Linked DNA regions of Macaca fascicularis. Each later gene encodes a partner of the first gene's protein in a complex. Links are inferred from orthologs where the notes say so. Each region holds a gene or a part of one and is shown on either strand. Other genes may lie near its edges.

Evidence for each region. Proteins that work in one complex are often made in the same cells at the same time.
Region 2: the proteins of HRAS (region 1) and RASA1 are in contact, whole or in part, in a crystal structure (PDB 8BOS), measured with the Homo sapiens proteins. The link is inferred for Macaca fascicularis from reciprocal best matches to the Homo sapiens genes HRAS and RASA1. Residues at the interface, in NP_001123914.1 of Homo sapiens: Gly12, Gly13, Ser17, Ile21, Gln25, Asp30, Glu31, Tyr32, Asp33, Pro34, Thr35, Ile36, Glu37, Asp38, Ser39, Tyr40, Arg41, Gln61, Glu62, Glu63, Tyr64, Ala66, Met67, Lys88, Lys117; in NP_002881.1 of Homo sapiens: Gly746, Arg749, Glu783, Thr785, Thr786, Arg789, Ala790, Thr791, Glu799, Lys803, Ser833, Arg894, Gly898, Phe901, Leu902, Arg903, Cys906, Pro907, Leu910, Asn911, Met914, Arg928, Ile931, Ala934, Lys935, Gln938, Asn939, Asn942, Val944, Ala948.
Region 3: the proteins of HRAS (region 1) and SOS1 are in contact, whole or in part, in a crystal structure (PDB 4NYM), measured with the Homo sapiens proteins. The link is inferred for Macaca fascicularis from reciprocal best matches to the Homo sapiens genes HRAS and SOS1. Residues at the interface, in NP_001123914.1 of Homo sapiens: Gly13, Gly15, Ser17, Ala18, Thr20, Ile21, Gln25, Asp30, Glu31, Tyr32, Asp33, Pro34, Thr35, Glu37, Tyr40, Arg41, Asp54, Ile55, Leu56, Asp57, Thr58, Ala59, Gly60, Gln61, Glu63, Tyr64, Ser65, Ala66, Met67, Arg68; in NP_005624.2 of Homo sapiens: Glu589, Lys602, Trp809, Thr810, Lys814, Leu822, Met824, Ile825, Arg826, Thr828, Thr829, Thr832, Glu836, Asn869, Leu872, Val875, Ser876, Asn879, Ser880, Ser881, Tyr884, Ser908, Asp910, His911, Tyr912, Lys913, Leu916, Phe929, Phe930, Gly931.
Region 4: the proteins of HRAS (region 1) and RASGRP4 are in contact, whole or in part, in a crystal structure (PDB 6AXG), measured with the Homo sapiens proteins. The link is inferred for Macaca fascicularis from reciprocal best matches to the Homo sapiens genes HRAS and RASGRP4. Residues at the interface, in NP_001123914.1 of Homo sapiens: Glu3, Gly12, Gly13, Gly15, Ser17, Ala18, Ile21, Asp33, Pro34, Thr35, Ile36, Glu37, Tyr40, Arg41, Asp54, Leu56, Asp57, Ala59, Gly60, Gln61, Glu63, Tyr64, Ser65, Ala66, Met67, Arg68, Asp69, Gln70, Arg73, Thr74; in NP_733749.1 of Homo sapiens: Tyr228, Gly232, Val234, Val244, Asn248, Ser251, Asn288, Met291, Ala292, Gly295, Gly296, Cys298, His299, Ser300, Leu327, Ala328, Ser329, His330, Asn331, Asn332, Tyr333, Ala334, Arg337, Leu351, Gly352, Val353, Leu355, Lys356, Val359, Ser360.

What each region holds. Positions count from the first base shown.
Region 1 is NC_088388.1:433,100-438,040, forward strand, and holds the start of HRAS (GTPase HRas), read right to left. Parts: upstream 3,201-4,941; 5' UTR 2,784-3,200; exon of another isoform or gene 2,768-2,783; intron 1,172-2,767; exon of another isoform or gene 1,027-1,171; intron 1-1,026. UniProt on the Homo sapiens protein: Involved in the activation of Ras protein signal transduction. Ras proteins bind GDP/GTP and possess intrinsic GTPase activity.
Region 2 is NC_088380.1:91,254,705-91,258,942, reverse strand, and holds the start of RASA1 (ras GTPase-activating protein 1), read right to left. Parts: upstream 2,801-4,238; 5' UTR 2,234-2,800; coding exon 1,716-2,233; intron 1-1,715. UniProt on the Homo sapiens protein: Inhibitory regulator of the Ras-cyclic AMP pathway. Stimulates the GTPase of normal but not oncogenic Ras p21; this stimulation may be further increased in the presence of NCK1.
Region 3 is NC_088387.1:83,039,040-83,043,234, forward strand, and holds the start of SOS1 (son of sevenless homolog 1), read left to right. Parts: upstream 1-1,395; 5' UTR 1,396-2,025; coding exon 2,026-2,112; intron 2,113-2,242; exon of another isoform or gene 2,243-2,366; intron 2,367-4,195.
Region 4 is NC_088393.1:45,488,212-45,492,483, forward strand, and holds the start of RASGRP4 (RAS guanyl-releasing protein 4), read right to left. Parts: upstream 2,801-4,272; 5' UTR 2,685-2,800; coding exon 2,662-2,684; intron 1-2,661.

The sequences.
Region 1 (4,941 bases):
GGTCCTGCTCAGCCAGGCCCAGGCCCCACAGGGCAGCTGCTGGCAGAGCCATCTGAAGAGCAAACCCATAGCGGGCCCTGGGTCCCAACGCCAGGCAGCAAGGACTGCAGCGTGCCTACCTGTGCAGCTGCAAACCAGCGCGGGGGAGGGCTGTCGCCTCGCCCCCACTTGCTGTTAAGGACCCAGTGAGGGGAAAAGGGAGCCAGCCTCCAAAGGCAGGGCTGACAGCTGAGCGCTCTCAACCAAATTAGAAGCTGCTGGGTCGGCAGAAAGACTAAAGGGAGGCGCCCGAGGGCTGAGGTTACCGTCCTCCTAAACAGGTCTGGCCACGGCGGAGCGCGCCACGGCGTGCCCGGGCAGGCCAGTGCCAGCCTGCAGGCCCCGTGGCGCTGGTGCCTCCGACAAGTATTTGCTGAGCGCCTACTGCGTGCTAGGCGCCGCTGAGGGGAGGGCAGACCCGGGCAGCGCCCCGCGCCCCCGGCGGGGAACCGGGGGCATCTTTCAGCCACAGAAAGCTGGAAAAGACAGAGGGGCTCCTGGGAAGCAGGGGCTGAGCCACAGGAAGGGGCCGAGAGGCGGCGCGGGAGACCCGGAGAGGGGAAGGGCCCTGGGGCTGAGGCCCCCGGCCTCGTCCGCGACCTGTGATGCTGAATCGGGGGTGCCCGGGCGTGCCGTGGCCGCGGCCGCCTCCGCCCAGACGCGCCTGGTTATGAGGGCGCCGGGCCCGAGGCTCCCGGGGACGCCGGCGTGAGGACCGTGCCCAGAGCGAGGCCACGGGCGGGGCCCGGATTCCCGCAGGCCCCAGGGACTAAGGGGCCTCAGCCCGCCCCCGCCAGCCGCAGCCCCCGACGCCCGCTCACCTGTGCCTGGGGGCCCCGCCCGGCCCGGCCCGGCCCCACCCACCCACTACCGCCGCCGCAGCCGCTCACGCCCGCCGGTCCCGCGCCCCCGGCCCGCGCCGCGCGTATGGCTGCCGCCTGGGGGCGGGGAGGGCGCGCGGCCCGGCCGACCCCGGCCCGCACTCACCGCTCAGTGGCGCGACTGCCCCCGGGGCCGGGGCCGAGGCCAGGGGGGGGCGGGGGCGGGGGCGCGCGGTTCTCCCCGCGCATGGGCTCCGTCCGCGGCGGGTGCGGCTGGGGCTGCAGGCGCAGGGAGCGGGCGGCGGAGACTCGGCCGGGCTCGCGCACGCCCCACCCCGCGCCCGTCCGTCAGCCCTGCGCGACCTACCATTGGCCTCGCTACACCAGGCCCCGCCCCGCCCCGGTTGGCTGAGCGGCCCGTCTGTCAGGAGCCGCGGTCGGGCAGGGCTTCCGGGAGCAACGCGGGAGGCGGAGCCAGAAGGGCCGCGGCCTCGGGGGGTTGGGCTAGGCCGGCGAGCGGAGGCAAGCTCGGGGTTGCTCAAGGAGGGCGAGGGAGCAGGTGTCTGGGGGCCTGCGGCGGCATATCCGAGCAGGGCCGTGGACTCTCCCGGGAACAGGCCGGCGAGAGAACCCGACTCAGCGGCGCCCGTGCACTCGAGGCCCTCCCTGCGTCCGCAGCGCGGCGTCGCCCACCGCGGAGGTCCCGGGGCTCCGGCTGAGGAAAGGCTGGGATCCGTCGGGACCAAGGCGGGCCGCTCGGAGCTGGGGGCCCCCGGGTGGCCGCGGGGTCCGGTTGCCCGGCTCCCCTTCCGCGCAGGTGGAGTGGCCCCGCACCCGGACGGTGCGCACCCCGCCTCCTCCGCGCACCCCACCTACCACACGCACCCCAGCTCCCCTACTCCCACCTCAGCCCACCCCGAGGACGCCTTGCAGCTCCGGTGGGGTTTCGAGCGGCGGGCGCAGCCGTGCTCCCTGGGGCCAGGCGTGAGAACGCCCCCTCCACCACTTCTCTTACTTGGGCCTGCGTGGCAGGCGACCCTGCCCGCTCAGTCCCCCCAGACTTGAGGTTCCAACCATGCAGAAGCTCAGCGTGGTGCAGTTAAACGGTACCTACAGGTTGCCACAGGAGAGCGAAGTGCCCAGGGCTCACCCCAAGCACAAAGACCACATCCTAGCTCTTTCAAACCCCAAAAGACGTGTTTTTTTTTTTTTTTTTAACATTTTTTTAAATTGCAAAGGAATCAGAAATACATTCTCATTAAAAAGCAAAAGGGCCATCCTGGCTGACACGGTGAAACCCCGTCTCTACTAAAAAATACAAAAAACTAGCCGGGCGAGGTGGCGGGCGCCTGTAGTCCCAGCTACTTGGGAGGCTGAGGCAGGAGAATGGCGTGAACCCGGGAGGCGGAGCTTGCAGTGAGCTGAGATCCGGCCACTGCACTCCAGCCTGGGTGGCAGAGCGAGACTCCGTCTAAAAAAAAAAAAAAAAAAAAAAAAAAAAAAGCAAAAGGGGCCGGCCGCGGTGGCTCACGCCTATAATCCCAGCACTTTGGGAGGCCTAGGCCGGTGGATTACTTGAGGTCAGGAGTTCAAGACCGGCCTGGCCAACATGATGAAATCCCGTCTCTACTAAAAATGCAAAAAATTAGTCGGCTGCAGTGGCGCGAGCCTGTAGGCCCAACTACTCAGGAGGCTGAGGCAGGAGAATCGCTGGAACCCGGGTGGCGAATGTTGCGGTGAGCCGAGATCGCGCCACTGCACTCCGGCCTGGGTGACAGAGCGCAACTTCGTCTCAAAAAAAAGGCGTTTAAAAGAAAAAAAGGCGTTTTACGGTCAGGCAAACCCTGCCTCTGCCCAACCCAGTGCCCGCCCCGCCGCCACGCCCTCCTGCGCCGGTCGCCGCTGACCCGGGGCTCCACCCACGTGCGGTCCCGGGGGTCCCGCCTGCCGTCCATCCACCGCGCGGTCGCAGTCAGAGCCCGGCTCGGGGCGGACGCGCATGAACGCAGGTGAGAGGCGGCGACTGAACGGCGGGCGGCGGCGTGTCCCACGGGCCGGGCACTCGGGCGCGCTTCGGCATCCGGTCTGTGTTTCCTGGTCCTCCGGGGCGCTTGCCCCGGTGCTTCCTTTTGCTGTCGGCCTCACTTCCAATCGAAGGTCAGGGCGTCAGGCCTCGACCCCAGGGGCGACCCTTCCACGTGGGAAAGGTGGGCGGGAGCCTCCAGCAGAGACCGCCCTTGCCGGCCCCGCGTGGGAAGCGCCGGGATCGCGAGGAAACGCGACACGTGCACCGCGACGGCCCGGGCACGGAGCCGCAGGGAGCTGGCACCTGACGCGCCTGCGCCCACCCGACTTGGTGGCGCGTCACCTCCCCCGGGATCGCCCACCCAAGTGCCAACTCACGTGGCCCCGCCCTAGCGACCGTTGCTAAGGGGCGTGGCTCAGCCCCTCAGAACCCGAGCCTCCTGCGGCTTATAAATATTTGCGTATTCAAATGAGGACCCGCCCACGTTGCCATGGGACCCAGGCCGCAACCCCGCAGCCGGAAGAACAGCCTGGAGTAGGAGACAGCGCCTGGCGGCGGAGGGCGCCCAGGGCCGAGCTGCCAGGGCCGGACACCTGGGCTGAGCCCTCAGGTGAGAGCCGAGCGCACCCTTGGGGTGGGAGCCACAGGCCTCGCCGTATGCCTGGTGGCAGGAGGGAGCCTGCGCCGAGGCGAGGGCGCGGGGACTAAGCAGCACAGCCAACGGGGACCCAGTGGAGGCCCCGCACGTCAGATCTGGTCCCCTGGGGACCCTTGCCTCCACCACCCCCTGGCCCTGCACTGAAGGGGCTCCCTGTCAGGAGGCAGGAGGGGCCCCAAGCCTTGCCCCTGAGGGAGATGCAGAGGCAAGGACCCAGGGTGCTTGGAGTTCCAGGGTGGGGCTCAGCAGGGGAGCGGGCTCTGCCCTCCCAGCGTCCATGGTGAAGGGGCAAGGGCTGCAGGGGACCAGAGGTGATGAGCTACCCACCAGGGAATGGCACTAGCTGGGGTGTGGAGACAGAATTCCTCCAGTTTCCAATTTGGGGAGCATGGGGGCTCGCAGAGGGGACACAGGGTAGGAGCAGGACTGCGAAGTGTGCGGATGGGTTCAGGCCTGGGCGAGAACACCAGGAGCAGTGTCTGAGGTGGGAGTCCAGTGGGGGCTTGGGACTCCACAGCCTCCAACCCCTGGTCCTTGCACCCCTAGGCCTTGGGGCTCAGACCAGCCTGATACTCGGGCTCTTGGGCACAGAGGAGACAAGGGTGGCTGACTCAGCCCTTAGTGCCACCCATAGATGTCCTGGGGCTGCGCATGACCCGGCCAGCTCACGTACTCCATGAGGCTCAAGACTGGCAGGCCTGGGATGGAGGTGGCCAGAGTCTTTGGGGGAACGCAGTGGTGGGGTCCTGCTGTGAGGCCTGGGGCCTTCCACCATCTGGAGAAAGGCAGGCAGTGGGGGAGATTCTGGCTGGAAACTCCATGAGACTCTATTTTGAGCTTATCTTCTTTGATTCTTGGTGCATGGTCACCTTCCAGACCAGGCCACTGAGGCACCCGGAGCCTGAGCCGCGGCCCTGCTCCAACACTCCCGCCCACCACCTCTGTCAACGGCCGGCCAACTCGCCTGGCGCAGGGGCAGCTGTAGACAGGATGGAGAGGATACATCTTCAATGTCCATATGTGGTCAACAGATGAAAGCCACGGCCAGAAAGTTCTAAGTGGCTACATGTGCATCTGCCTGTTCACGGATTCCTTCCACAAATATTTGAGCGTCGTCTCCTGCGGCTGTGGATAGCAGAGGAGCACCCAGGCCACGTGCAGGCCACGTGCAGCCCACAGCGCTGGGGCGAGGCAGGCCCTCAACCGAACACATAGTAAGACACACAGGGCTCCAAAGAGAATTTGTCTCATCAGGAAGATAAATCTGGGAAGGCTGGGTGGGGAGAGGCTGGGTGAGGAGTGCTCTCAAGGAGTCAGTCCAGGTCCAGACGGAACAGAGGAAGGTGGTCAGGGAGGAGGATGCTGGATGCTCCAAGCACATTTCTCACTGCACCCCT
Region 2 (4,238 bases), on another chromosome or scaffold:
CTGGTCTCAAACTCCCGACTTCGGGTGATCCACCTGCCTAGGCCTCCCGAAGTGCTGGGATTACAGGCGTGAGCCACCGCGACCGGCAAAATTGGAATTTTTAACACTCCCTGAACACTCCCAGGGACTCTGCATTACAATGACATGAAATAAATTGTCGTGTAAAATTTGAACAAAACTCTGACGCAAGACTTGAACCCTTTATTGAGGAATATAAAAGGTGGAACACTACATCCCTATAACATGGCTGGCATAAATATGACTAACTTTACTTTTCCACTTTAAGTATCAAAAGATGTAGCCTTAAGTCAAAAATAGATGAGGGTAACAGAATCTTTTCCTAGTTTCAGTCCTTTCTAAATGCTCCAAAGAAGCTTATCCAAAAAAAAAAAGGCCGGGCACAGTGGCTCACACCTGTAATCCCGGCAGTTCGGGAGGCTGAGGCCAAGCCGACCACCTGAGGTCAGGAGTTAAGATACCAGTTTGGCCATATGGCGAAACTTCGTCTCTATGAAAAATACAAAAATTAGCCAGGCATGGTGGCATGCACCTGTAATCCCAGCTACTAGCGAGGCTGAGGCAGGAGAATCTCTTGAACCCGGGAGGCAGAGGTTGCAGTGAGCCAAGACCATGCCACTACACTGCAGCCTGGGCAACAGAGCTAGACTCCATCTCTTGGGGGCAATGGAGAGAGGAAAAAAAAAAAAACCTCTGAATTGTCCAGAATGACTGTCAACATATGAACCAAATCTTTCTTTCCTGATATTCACCAAGGTTGTTAAAATTCTAAGGGTCAATTAAGAGTTATACGAGAAACCTATAACAAGTTTTGCCTAATACCACTTCCCATCGCAACATTTTCATCAAGGTCCACCTTTATGAATAAACACCTAAGTTCAATTAAGACAAGTGAGGAGGTATTAACTTACATTAAAAAAAAAGTCATTGTCCTGTATATTCTACTTAATTTTCAAATAGAATACTATACTGGCCACCAACAAAAAATGTTTAAGGGAAGCTCTGTTAATTTTGTTTTGTCTCACTGTTGTACTTCCAATGTCTCGACTATAAAAGCTAAGTGGGAAGCCTAGGGAAGAAGATACATTGTTGAAACAAAGGCGCTTAATCACACCTATAATTCACAGTATTCCTTTCCTTTCTCTCTGACCCAAGTTCTCATTAAGTGACCCACAGACTCTTCTAAACATCACTATGCTTTCTCTAATCAGAAGCTGGGATGTGCACTGAAATAAATACATTCTAACCAATACATTTTTCAAATTACTAATACAATACTCGTTTAAATATTTGTATTCAAAATTTCTCACTAATCATCTAGCTTTATCAAGTAACACAAACAGGTTAATATACACTATGACTGCCTTGGTAGCCGCAGTTTGACTAAATCCTGGGACACCACTTCAACTTGGAAGGGACAGAACCATATCCGGTTCTCATCAGATACACATTTTCTCATACTTTCCATCTTAAAAACTTTACACCTTCCCAGAAGAGCAATAAATGTAGGAAGACGCCAGGTAGTATGCCTGTAAGGAAGATAAGTGATCAAATTAAATTCCTACGCAAGAAACCTGAAACTTCAAAAACTTTTCCTAAACAAATCACAGATGAAAAAGACAAAGTATGGTTTACCCCATTTCCACTTCTTTTCTGGAGCCAGCTGCCCAAATTCCTGAACAGCAGTCTTAACTTACTGGTTAGTTGGAGGAGCGGTCAATGGTATGGCCACCTCTTCCTCCTCGTATTCTGGTCCATCCAGAGAGTCACCTTCGTCCACTGTCCCCAGGCCCGCCCCCAAAGGGGGCAGGTAAGGGGGAGGGGGCAGAGGGGGAAAACCGCCGCCTGGCCCGAGAGTCTCAGCAGGCAACGAAGTGGGCAGCTTGGTGAGAGCCATGTCTCCACTAGGTCCAGCGACAGCAGCACCGGCCACGCCAGCAGCAGTACCTCCCCCTGTCAGTCCGGCTCCCCCCAATGCCCCTGTCATAGACCCGGCTCCTAGGAACCCTGACCCCAAAGCGGCTCCGCCACCCAGAGTTCCAGCCACTCCAGTCTCCACCAGCCCAGGATAGGGGGCGGCTGCCACAGGCAGGGCCGCGGGTATCTTCACCCGACACACTGCGGGATAGGCACTGGAGCCCGCTGCCGCGCCGCCTCCTCCAGCTCCGGCTGTTACCGGGCCGCCCTCCTCACTGCCGGCCTCGGCCGCCATCATGTTGAAGCCCGCTCTACTCTGCCCTACCCTGCCCGCCCGGGAGCCCCGGGGGCCACCAGGCCCGGGCTCCGAGCCGCCCCACCCAGACGCGTCTCCCCTTCAGCTCCCCAGGCGGAGGAAACAACAACAAAAGGAGAGAGCCCGCCGCCGCGCCCCCTCCTAGGGCCACAGCCCAGGCTCCGGAGCTGCTTGGGTTACGGGAAGCGAAGTGGGCAAAAAACCCAACGCCTGCACAAACGCCACCCAAACCTCACGGCACACACCCACACTCACGCACACAAACACATGTACAGAAGCGAAAACTTCCTGGCTGCACTAAAGAGGAAAGGAAGCACAGGGAAAGAGGCTTAGGTGGCTATCGCTCCTTCAGCAGCCACCACCGCTTCTTCACCACCCCAGTTCCGGCCACCCACACCGCAGCCACCGCCGGTGCCGCTGCTGAGGCTGGGGCCACTGCAGCCGCTTCATCCTCCACCAGGCAGATGAGAGGGGTGGGGACAAGAGAAAGGGGGGCGGGGTAACAAGGAAATCGACTGAACTGCTCACTACCTGGAGCTCTCAGTGACTGAAACCGTAGAGAGAGAAAGGAAGGCGGGGCAGGGGAGGAGGGACGGAGGGAAGGAAGGGCGGAGGAGGGAGAGGGCAGCTTGTGCGCAGGCGCGTTCCCGGAGCGGGGAGCGGGGGGCGGGGGGCGGGGGGCGGGGGGCCGGGCCTGGAGGAAAAGGAAGAGTCCAGAGGGAAGGAAGCGGCGGGGACGCGCGGTGCGTGGTCGCGCTTGCTGTCCTACTCCGGTTCCTAGCGTGCGGCGGCGCGGCCGCATCTCCTGTTGGCGTGGCCGGCGGCGCGCGCCTGTCTCCCGGGGCTTTGTTTGATGGGCGGGAGAAGAGGGAAGGGTACCTGAGCACGCGGGTGCTCGGCGCTGTGAAAGCCGGAGAGACGAGAGGGGGACCGGGAGGCGGCGGAGAGGAAGAAGGGGGAAAGGGAAAGGAAAATGCCTAGAAACTAGTTCCGTACTTCCTGACCGGTGGAAGAAACAGCCTTAGCCAGCAGCGCAGAGACCATGCAGGAGTCAGGTAGCTTTGAAGATCGGGGCAGTACTAAATGTTGTCTTTTTCGTTGCATGCTATAAATCACCATGACTATCTCACACACACACAGATAAAATAGATTCTGAAACTCCGAAACGAAATAAAGGGCACCATATGAGAAGGGTGGGGAATTTTGGTAGAAATAGTGGTTATGAAGTAAGATTTCTACTAGTATTTGCATAGGTTTTTCTTTATCAACTGTCTCATATACTTACCTATGCTATTATAAGTCTGTTGGATACTGATGAAGAGGAGGGGGTGCCACAGAAAACACTAATCAATGCACTTTTGTCCTCTGTGTGCAAAAGACTGCAGGGTGTGATCCGCAATGCAAGCACCTTCAACAAGTCAAATGTCAAGAATGTCCCAGAATGCCAGTTACAATTATATATCGTTTCTAAAGTAGCAATAAACTGAAAACTCATTTTTAATACAATTAAGGAGAAGAGTGTTATTTTGTCTTCTACACTAAAATGTATACAAACTATTACATGCATTCATGTACAGGGAGCTTCTCATGGTTTGAAATTAACGGTATTGTTATTTTAAATTCTCCCAGTAGTAATCCCACGTTGAATACCATTGGATATTGATCTTTGAGATCAGTATTTTCTCTGCTAAGGATGATCAAGCCAACACTCCGGATGGCAAGTGGTTGTGATAGAAACAAAGGAACAAGAGAAAAGACCACTAAAAGAGGTGGCAAGATACAGGCAATGCATTTTCTTTGTAAATTTGCGTAGGCCTATTTACCTAGTCGATGACAACGATCCAACTTGATTAGGAGTAGTCCTGGGACCTCCATTATGCTTATGTCTTAGGCAATGTGCTACTTGGGAGAAGGAAGATGAACCAGTCACAGGAGCTAGAGTTCTCGAGTGAATTAAGGCCAGCAATATCCTAGGAATTCAGTAATG
Region 3 (4,195 bases), on another chromosome or scaffold:
GTGTGTATATATATATATATATATATTTTTTTTTTTTAATTGAGACGGAGTTTTGCTCTTGTCGCCCAGGCTGGAGTGCAGTGGCACGATCTCGGCTCACTGCAACCTCTGCCTCGCGGGTTCAAGCGATTCTCCTGCCTCAGCCTCCCGAGTAGCTGGGATTACAGGCACCCACCACCATGCCTTGCTAATTTTTGTATTTTTAGTAGAGACAGGTTTTCACAATGTTGGCCAGGCTGGTCTCGAACTCCTGACCTCAGGTGATCCACTTGCCTCAGCCTCCTAAAGTGCTACAGGCATGAGCCACCTCGCCTGGCCGGCCTGTATATTTTTAAAGGAAATAACCTAAGAGTTTTTTCCAGATTTTCAAAGAGGTCCTGTAAAGATTAAGAACCACTGAACCTTTCTCGTTTGCCTGATCTGGTTACTGTTCTCAGGAATAGGAGGACACAATGTCAGCTTTAACCCAGGCTAGTTCCTCTAAACTGCCTTATCGGTGAAATGAAAATAATAGGGTTGCTATGGGGATTAAATGAGATGATACTCAAAAAGTGATAATTAATGATAAATCATAAGGTGTCTGCCACAAAGTGCCCCTATTATAAACAAACAGTGGCCTGGAGGGACAGTTTATAAATACTGCTCCTTTAGCATTCCACTAATATTCACTGAGTGCCTGTTCTGTGTAGAGGCCCTGGTGAAAAAGATCGGCCTTCCAGTATATTATCTAGTCGAAAGAACCTCAAAAGATACAAAACACGATAGACTGAACGCCCTGAGAAGGGCGTAAGTGCAGTGCTCTAGGAGCTGTAGAAGAGGTCTCGATATCCACTGGAGGAAAGTGTTTATTGGAGTTCATATCTGGAGTGGGTTTAAAAGATGAACAGAGGGAATCTAAAACATACACACAAAATCAATACTACACGTACACATTTTATTCTTGGTTTTGTGGAAAGACCAGTTAGAAACACTGCAATCACTTCTACTACTCAGCAGATACTGAGCAGTAGGTTTCGTGACAGAGCACCTGTATCTTTTGTCCAGTCTGTTTACTATACATTGCGTGCTCTGGGCAGTCCTTATCTTCGTGTTCAGGAACAAAGTACACACACCCCTTTCCGAAACGAAGGGCCCAGGGATTCCGAGAGGGGTGGGAGCCCTCACGGCCAGACCACACAATGGGGAGCCTCTTTACCCTAGTTATCACCCACCCCTGCAGGCTCCACTTTGCCAGGGTTCGACTTCTCGGGTCCTTTCGCCCCTCCCCTGCAGCCCCCAGGAGCGCAGCAACAGCCTGGCCAGGCGCCCTCCCTCTCTCTCTCTCGAGCTTCCCTCCTCCTTCACCGGGAGCCGGAAAACCCGGAGCGAACCAGCCCAGCCCGGCGGCGCATGCTCAGTAGCGAGCAGGTTCAGTTCGCTAGTAGGAAGCTCTAGCGCTACACCGGCGGCGGCGGCGGCGGCTGCGGCGGCACCTCAGGGCAGCCAGATTCCCCAACAACGACCTCGGGTCCTTCCCCTTCCCCGTGAGACCCCCGCCCCAGCTCAGCCCCGCCCGGGGCTCCTGCGTTTCGGGGTACCAACTGAGCAGAGCGGGCGCCGCGGCCGGAGCGTACCTCCACACGTCCTCCCCCAGCCGCCAGCTCCGCCGCGGGGCCAGGCCGGGCCCGAGAGTGCAGCCCCGGCGGGCGGGCGGGCGGCGGCCGCGGCAGAGGGCAGCCCCGGGCGGCGCCGGCGGGCCGGGGAGGAGGCGCGGGGGGCCTGGCCCCGGGGCGGTGGTGCGGGATGCCGCCGCCTCCGGGCCGCGTTCGTTCTCCACAGTTGGTACCCGTGTCGGGTGTGTGGCCGGGCGCGGGCCTCGCCCCCCAGCCCCCTCACCAGGGCTAGCCCGGCTGCGCGGCGCCCGGAGGGGGCCGGGCCGTCCGGTGGGGCCGCGGCCCTGTTCCGTGCTGCGATCTCGCCCTCTCGCAGCTCCCCGGCCCGGCCGCCGCCGCCCCTCTCCCCGCCCAGAGGCGCCCCGGGGGCACCATGCAGGCGCAGCAGCTGCCATACGAGTTTTTCAGCGAAGAGAACGCGCCCAAGTGGCGGGGACTGCTGGTGCCTGCGCTGAAAAAGGTGAGGAGCACGCGGGACCCCGCTTCCCGGCCGCAGCACCCCAGCGCGGGCGCCGGGCTGGCGCTGGGGAAGGGCTGGGGAGGCGGGGCGCGCGCAGGGCTGTCTTTCTTCCCGGTCTCGCCGCGTCTCCAGAAGGACGGCGCACACTGAGAGGCTCGCCATACGGCTGGCTCTCAGTGTTGACATCCACCGGGTGTGTGGGAAGGCCGCAGGGAGCTGGCGGGAGTTTATCCGAATAATCCAACCCCTGAGAGGTGAATGCTTTGCCCTTTGATTCCAAGACAACAGTTGCAGGAGCCTCAGTTTTCTGCGGAGGTCAAAGCAGGCCACCTTTCCGCCTTCTCGGTCTTAGCGCGGAGCTGCTGTCAGCCTGCCGTTTTAGGTGTCCAGTACGCTCGTTTTAGTGGCTTTTCGAGAATGCCCTGGCCGTAGTGCTTGCTCAAAGGAATTGCGAGCTCGCCTGCCAGCAGTAACGTGGCCTGCTCTGTTCGCCATCAGCAATCACTCCTCATTCTCCTGGTTTCCCCCGCTCCTCCGATTAACAGGGGCCGGTGCACATGCTACCAATTTCGGGGTTTTTTTGTTTTGTTTTTGCAGCGTTAGAAACTTGGTGCTGTCATTTGGTTAAGAATTTTTAGCCTTTGTATGTTTAAGTTTGCTACATTGTTACATACCCCCGATCTGTGCTTTTAAATGTTTTAGTATAATTAGGAAGTGTTGTTACATTTTTAAAGCTTCTAAAGCAGCAGTGTGACTACCAGACTATTTTTGTTTCCTTTTCTTCATTTACCTTTTCTGTAAAGATTGCTTTACTCTTCTAATAGTGTTTCTAAATTCCAGTTTCTTGCTGCTTAAAGAATGTTTCATGCTAACTGCTTCTACTAAGAATGGAGATTAATGTTGTACCTTTTATGCTAAACATTAAAAGCTGTCTGATATTTCTCAAAGGCCAGTAACTTTTACTTTCCCTTTTGCCCTGTTCTCCTCCTGTCCCTCTTGCTGTCTTACAGTGGAAACTATTTGGTTTGTCAGGAGTATTTGCTCATATATTTCTGACTTAAGTTACGGACATTTTCCCCTTCAAGTGTCTGACTAGTCACAAACATCTATGTGTTTTTTTTTTTTTTTTTAAAGAAAACCAAAAAGATGCCATGTATCTTACATACTTTACTCCTTAGAAATCCCATCAGGCTCTCACTCCTTACTTTTGCTTTACTTGCAAGTTTGGCTTCTCAGCTTGCAATGGAATGGGTGTAGGACGTCTCTGTGATGCTAGAAGCTGGTGTCCGGATAGGGTAAGAGAAGACAGGGAAATTGTTTAAAAATCTGTAAAGGAACTCATAAAGTATTGCCAAATAGGGGCCATTTTGCTTAGAGGCAAAAACAGCTGCTTTCTTAGGGAATCACCAAGCTATCAGCTGAGAATTCTTTGAAGTAGTGGAAAGAATATTGTAGGAGTTGACAGACCTTGTTTTAATTCTGCCACACTGGTGGCCCTTGCTGGAATCTGTCCACAGAAGCATTTTGTTTGGCTGGCACAGTGTGGTTTTATTTTCAAATGTAATTAGTTGCTAATATTTGAAAATGGGAGATATTACATAAAATCTGAATTTTCTGCTTTTCTTGACGAATAGGAAGGTCTTGTCATTTAGGGTCTGTATTCAAGCGAGGCACTAAACTGCTGGAGGTGAGTAAATGGCTGCCTTCTTTAGACAGGTCGTGTATCTCCACCTTACCACAGCCCCCACTTGTCCTTTTTGCATATTTACATAAACCAGCTTTTGACTTTAAGCTAGAAATATTTTTGCAGTAGAAGTGATAAGAGGAGGTGGAAGTGTACATAATCTAGCTGATATGTAAGGTTCTTCCAATTCTTATTTAAATATCCACTAACAATGATTCTAAACAAGGTTGAAAATACAGTATATTTCATATCTGGATATGTTGTTGGTAGCTCAAAACCTACGTTTTTACCTGCCTGCTGGACATTTCATGTGGATATCTCCATATCTTGATTTCTTCCTTTGATTTATTATTGAATTATTTGTAGATGCATCCAACTTGTGTTCTCTTACTCTTACCT
Region 4 (4,272 bases), on another chromosome or scaffold:
GGAAACCCCAGGATTTCATCTCTGCCCTTCTCCCACCCCTTCACCCCACTAAGGTAACAGACCCCTCTCTGAAGTTAGCCTTCCGGCAGGACCTACAGTTTAGCCTTCAGTCTGGGTCCTTAGATTTGGGACTGGAGAGGAAATACCAGTGCTAAATGGTCTTCTCTGGGGCTCCTCAGAGTTAGGTGAGAGGTTCCTGGGGCTGAGGCAGCTTCAAGGAAGGTGGGAAAATAATCCTCTCATCACAACGTCATGAGTTCGAGACCAGCTTGACCAACATGGTGAAACCCCGTCTCTACTAAAAATACAAAAATTAGCTGGGCATGGTGGTGCACACCTGTAATCCCAGCTACTCAGGAGGCTGAGGCAGAAGAATCGCTTGAACCCAGGAGGCAGAGGTTGCAGTGAGCCGAGATTGCGCCACTGCACTCCAGCCTGGGCAACAGAGCAAGTCTTCGTCTCCAAAATAATAATAATAATAATAACAATAATAGTAATAATAATTCTTCCTCTGCCTGGTGCCTCCCAGAGGCTGCTGTTCCTGATGGGGAAAGAGGGTAATGGAGAGACAGGGATGGTGGGAGGAGGGAGGGAGCTGAATCCATGTTTCAAACGAAAGTAGAATCCAGAAATTTCTGCCAGCTGTTGTGACTTCGTGTTAGTTACTTAATTTCTCTGGGGCTGTTTCCTCAAAGGAAAAATGAAGATAGTCCTTGGACCTTCCCCAAGGATTTTTTTTTTTTTCTTTTTTTGGAGACAGGGTCTCACTCTGTCACCCAGGCTGGAGTGCAGTGGTGCAATCTCAGCTCACTGCAACCTCCACCTTCCGAGTTCAAGCAATTCTCCTGCCTCAGCCTCCCAATTAGTTGGGCTACAGGCACCTGCCACCAAGCCCAGCTAATTTTTGTATTTTTAGTAGAAATGGAGTTTCACCGTGTTGGCCAGGCTGGTTTCGAACTCCTGGGCCCAACTGATCCTCCCACCTTTGCCTCCTAAAGTGCTGGGATTATAGGTGTGAGCCATCACGCCAGGCCCCTACCTCTACCCTTTTTTAGACAGGATCTTGCTCTGTCTCTCAGGCTGGAGTGCAATGGTGCAATCAAAGCTCACTGTAACCTTGAACTCCTGGACTCGAGTGATCCTCCTGCCTTAGTCTCCCAGCTAGCTGGGACTACAGGTGTGCACAACCGTACCCAGCTAATTTTGTGTGTGTGTGTGTGTGTCGATGGGGGTCTCACTATATTGCCCAGGCTGGTCTAGAACTTCTGGCCTCAAGTTCTCCTTGCCTTATCCTCCCAAAGTTCTGGGATTAGAGGCATGAGCCACTGTTACTAGAAGGGACATTTTAAAGTATTAAATATGTCCTAGGCCGAGGAGGGAGCATTGTAACTAAATCAGCGTTTCCCTAAGTGTGGGCACCCAGCTAGTACAAAAGCATCACCTGGGAACTGGATATAAATACAGATTCTCAGGTCCCAACCGACACCTACAAAATCAAACATTTTAAGGCTGGGGGCAGTGGCTCATGCCTCTCTAATCCCAGCACTTTGGGAGGCCGAGGTGGGCGGATCACGAGGTCAAGAGATCGAGACCATCTTGCCCAGCATGGTGAAACCCCATCTCTACTAAAAATACAAAAAAGTAGCCGGGTGTGGTGGCATGCACCGGTAATCCCAGCTATTTGGGAGGCTGAGGCAGGAGGATCGCTTGAACCCAGGAGGCAGAGGTTGCAGTGAGCCGAGATTGTGCCACCGCACTCCAGCCTGGAGACAGAGCGAGACTCCGTCTCAAAAAAAAAAAAAGAAAGAAAAAAATAATAAGGGTAAGCCCAGCAACCTGTATTTTAAAAGCCCTCCAGACAGTTCTGAGGCACGCTCCAGTTTGAGAACCACTGGTCTAGAGTGTCTCATTGAGTACTTACAGGCCTCTCCGAGGTGGAGGCTATGATTATTCTATTGACAGAAGAAAAACCCAAGACACAGAGCAGTTAAGTGACTTACCTAAGGTCAGCCAGGAGTCTACCACTAAATTGCTGGGTGGGGAGGAAAGCCCTTTGCCCATCAGAGTGATTCTGGGGATGGCAGGAGGAGCTACCCAGGCTAGGGAGACACCCACCCTATCTGCCTCTGTGGGGACAGAAGGGCCAGCTTGCCCAGGAGATAGAAGCCCATTCTAGAACCAGCCACACAGCCAGCCACTAGGCCCTGTCCTGCAGCCCCCTGTAGGGCTCTGGAACAGCCAGAAGTGGTTTAAGAGGCAGGGGAGCCACTTTGCCCTGTGTCACACTCCCAGGCCTCTCCTGGGCCAGGGCCCTGCAGGAGCTTGGAGTTTCCAGTCCAAGGGGATGGGGAACCAGGAAGCCCCCAGGGAGGGCAGAGACACTCAGCCCAGGCCAGGGATGGAGGTGTGGTGACAAGAAGTGGGAAAGGGGCAAAGAGCAGCTCAAACTCCAGGGACAACATGGTACAGATGCCACATCCAAGCCACTGCCGCCCTAGCTGGCTCCAGACTCCCTGAACCCTGAAGCATCCACCTGGCCCCCCTGCACCCGGTCCCGAAGAAGCCAGGCATCCTGCCACCCTGGCGAGTGATCTCCCCAGCCCTCCCATGCAGAGGGAGGCCTCAGGGTGCTGCCGGGCTCCCTGGGGAGGGTCCTCTCACCTCTTGCTGTCTTTTCTGTTCATGTTTCCGGTGGGGGGGGGAGGAGGGCGGGGGTCTTGCAAGAGTATGGCTCGGCTCCTCCCCTTCCCCAGGACTCCAGCTTCTCAGCCCCTAGGGAGCTGGGGCCTCCTCGGTGCTTGGGAAGGAAAGAGGAACTGCCCCTCCCCACCCACCCTCAGGCCAGGGGGAAGGAAGAGGCTGGGGAGAGACCAAAGGCCCCCCTCCCCCACACGGGGATCCCTTCTGCTGAGGTTTCCGGCACTGCTGGCTCTCCCACCCTCAAGAGCCCCGGCGGGCTCTCTATCTCCCTCATCTTTCGGTCTCAAGACCCGTCACTGTCATACTTCAATAAAAGCAGGGGTTTTTCTTTTCAAAGCATGACTGATATTTATGTAAAAACACACACACACTCAAAAAGATAAGTCTGTCTTTCTAGAAGGACATACTGATATATATAATTCACGAAGGTTTGAATGGAAACTCACAAGACATAGTATTTTATATATTTCTTCATAGGCTTCTCTTATTCCTAGTTTAAGTGATACCATTTGTACCCTGGAAAACATTTTCACTTTCTGACTTTATTGTAACAAACCTCCACATAGCACCTACTGTGTACCACACACTGCTCTAAGGACTTTAAAAATACTAACTCATTTAATCCTCACACAATCCACTGTTACCTTAAAAGAACATTACATACTGGGCCAGGCACGGGGGCTCACGCCTGTCATCCAGCACTTTGGGAGGCCAAGGCAGGCGGATCGCTTGAGTCCAGGAGTTTGAGACCAGCCTGAACAACACGACAAAACCCCGTCTCTAAAAAAATGTAAAAAGTTAGGCTGGCGTGGTGGCTCACTCCTGTAATCCCAGCACTTTAGAAGGCTGAGGTGGCGGATCACCTGAGGTCGGGAGTTTGAGACCAACATAGAGAAACCCCGTCTCTACTAAAAATACAAAATTAGCCCAGCGTGGTGGCACATGCCTGTAATCCCAGCTACTTGGGAGGCTGAGGCAGGAGAATTGCTTGAACCCAGGAGGCGGAGGTTGAGGTGAGTCGAGATCGCACCATTACACTCCAGCCTGGGCAACGGGAGCAAAACTCTGTCTCAAACAAAAAAGAAAAAAAAAAGCTAGCTGAGCATAGTGGTGCATACCTGTAGTCCCAGGTACTCAGGAGGCTGAGGCAAGAGGATTGCTTGAGCCCAAGGAGGTGGAGGCTGCAGTGAGCCCTGATGGTGCCACTGCACGTCAGTCCTATCTCAAAAAACAAAAAACAGAACAAAACAAAAAAAACCCACACACACATCAAAAACCATCAAAGATGGAGGTAAAGCCTTTGGGAAGCCCCTCCCCATCCCCTGTCTTTCTTAAGCAGGGTGTGACCAATATGACATGTTGTCGAGTTTCGTCCAAACTGCTGTCTGTGCGTTTAAGCACATTGTATAAACATGTGCTCCTAGAAACAGACTTTTCTTTTGAGTGTGCATTTTTTTCTTTTTACCTAAATGTGTCATGCTCGACCTTTTTTTTTTTTTAAATCGAAGTACAAAAAGATCACCAATCATTAAGTATTTAGGTTGATGAAATGTCACCAACTGAGCAAACCTG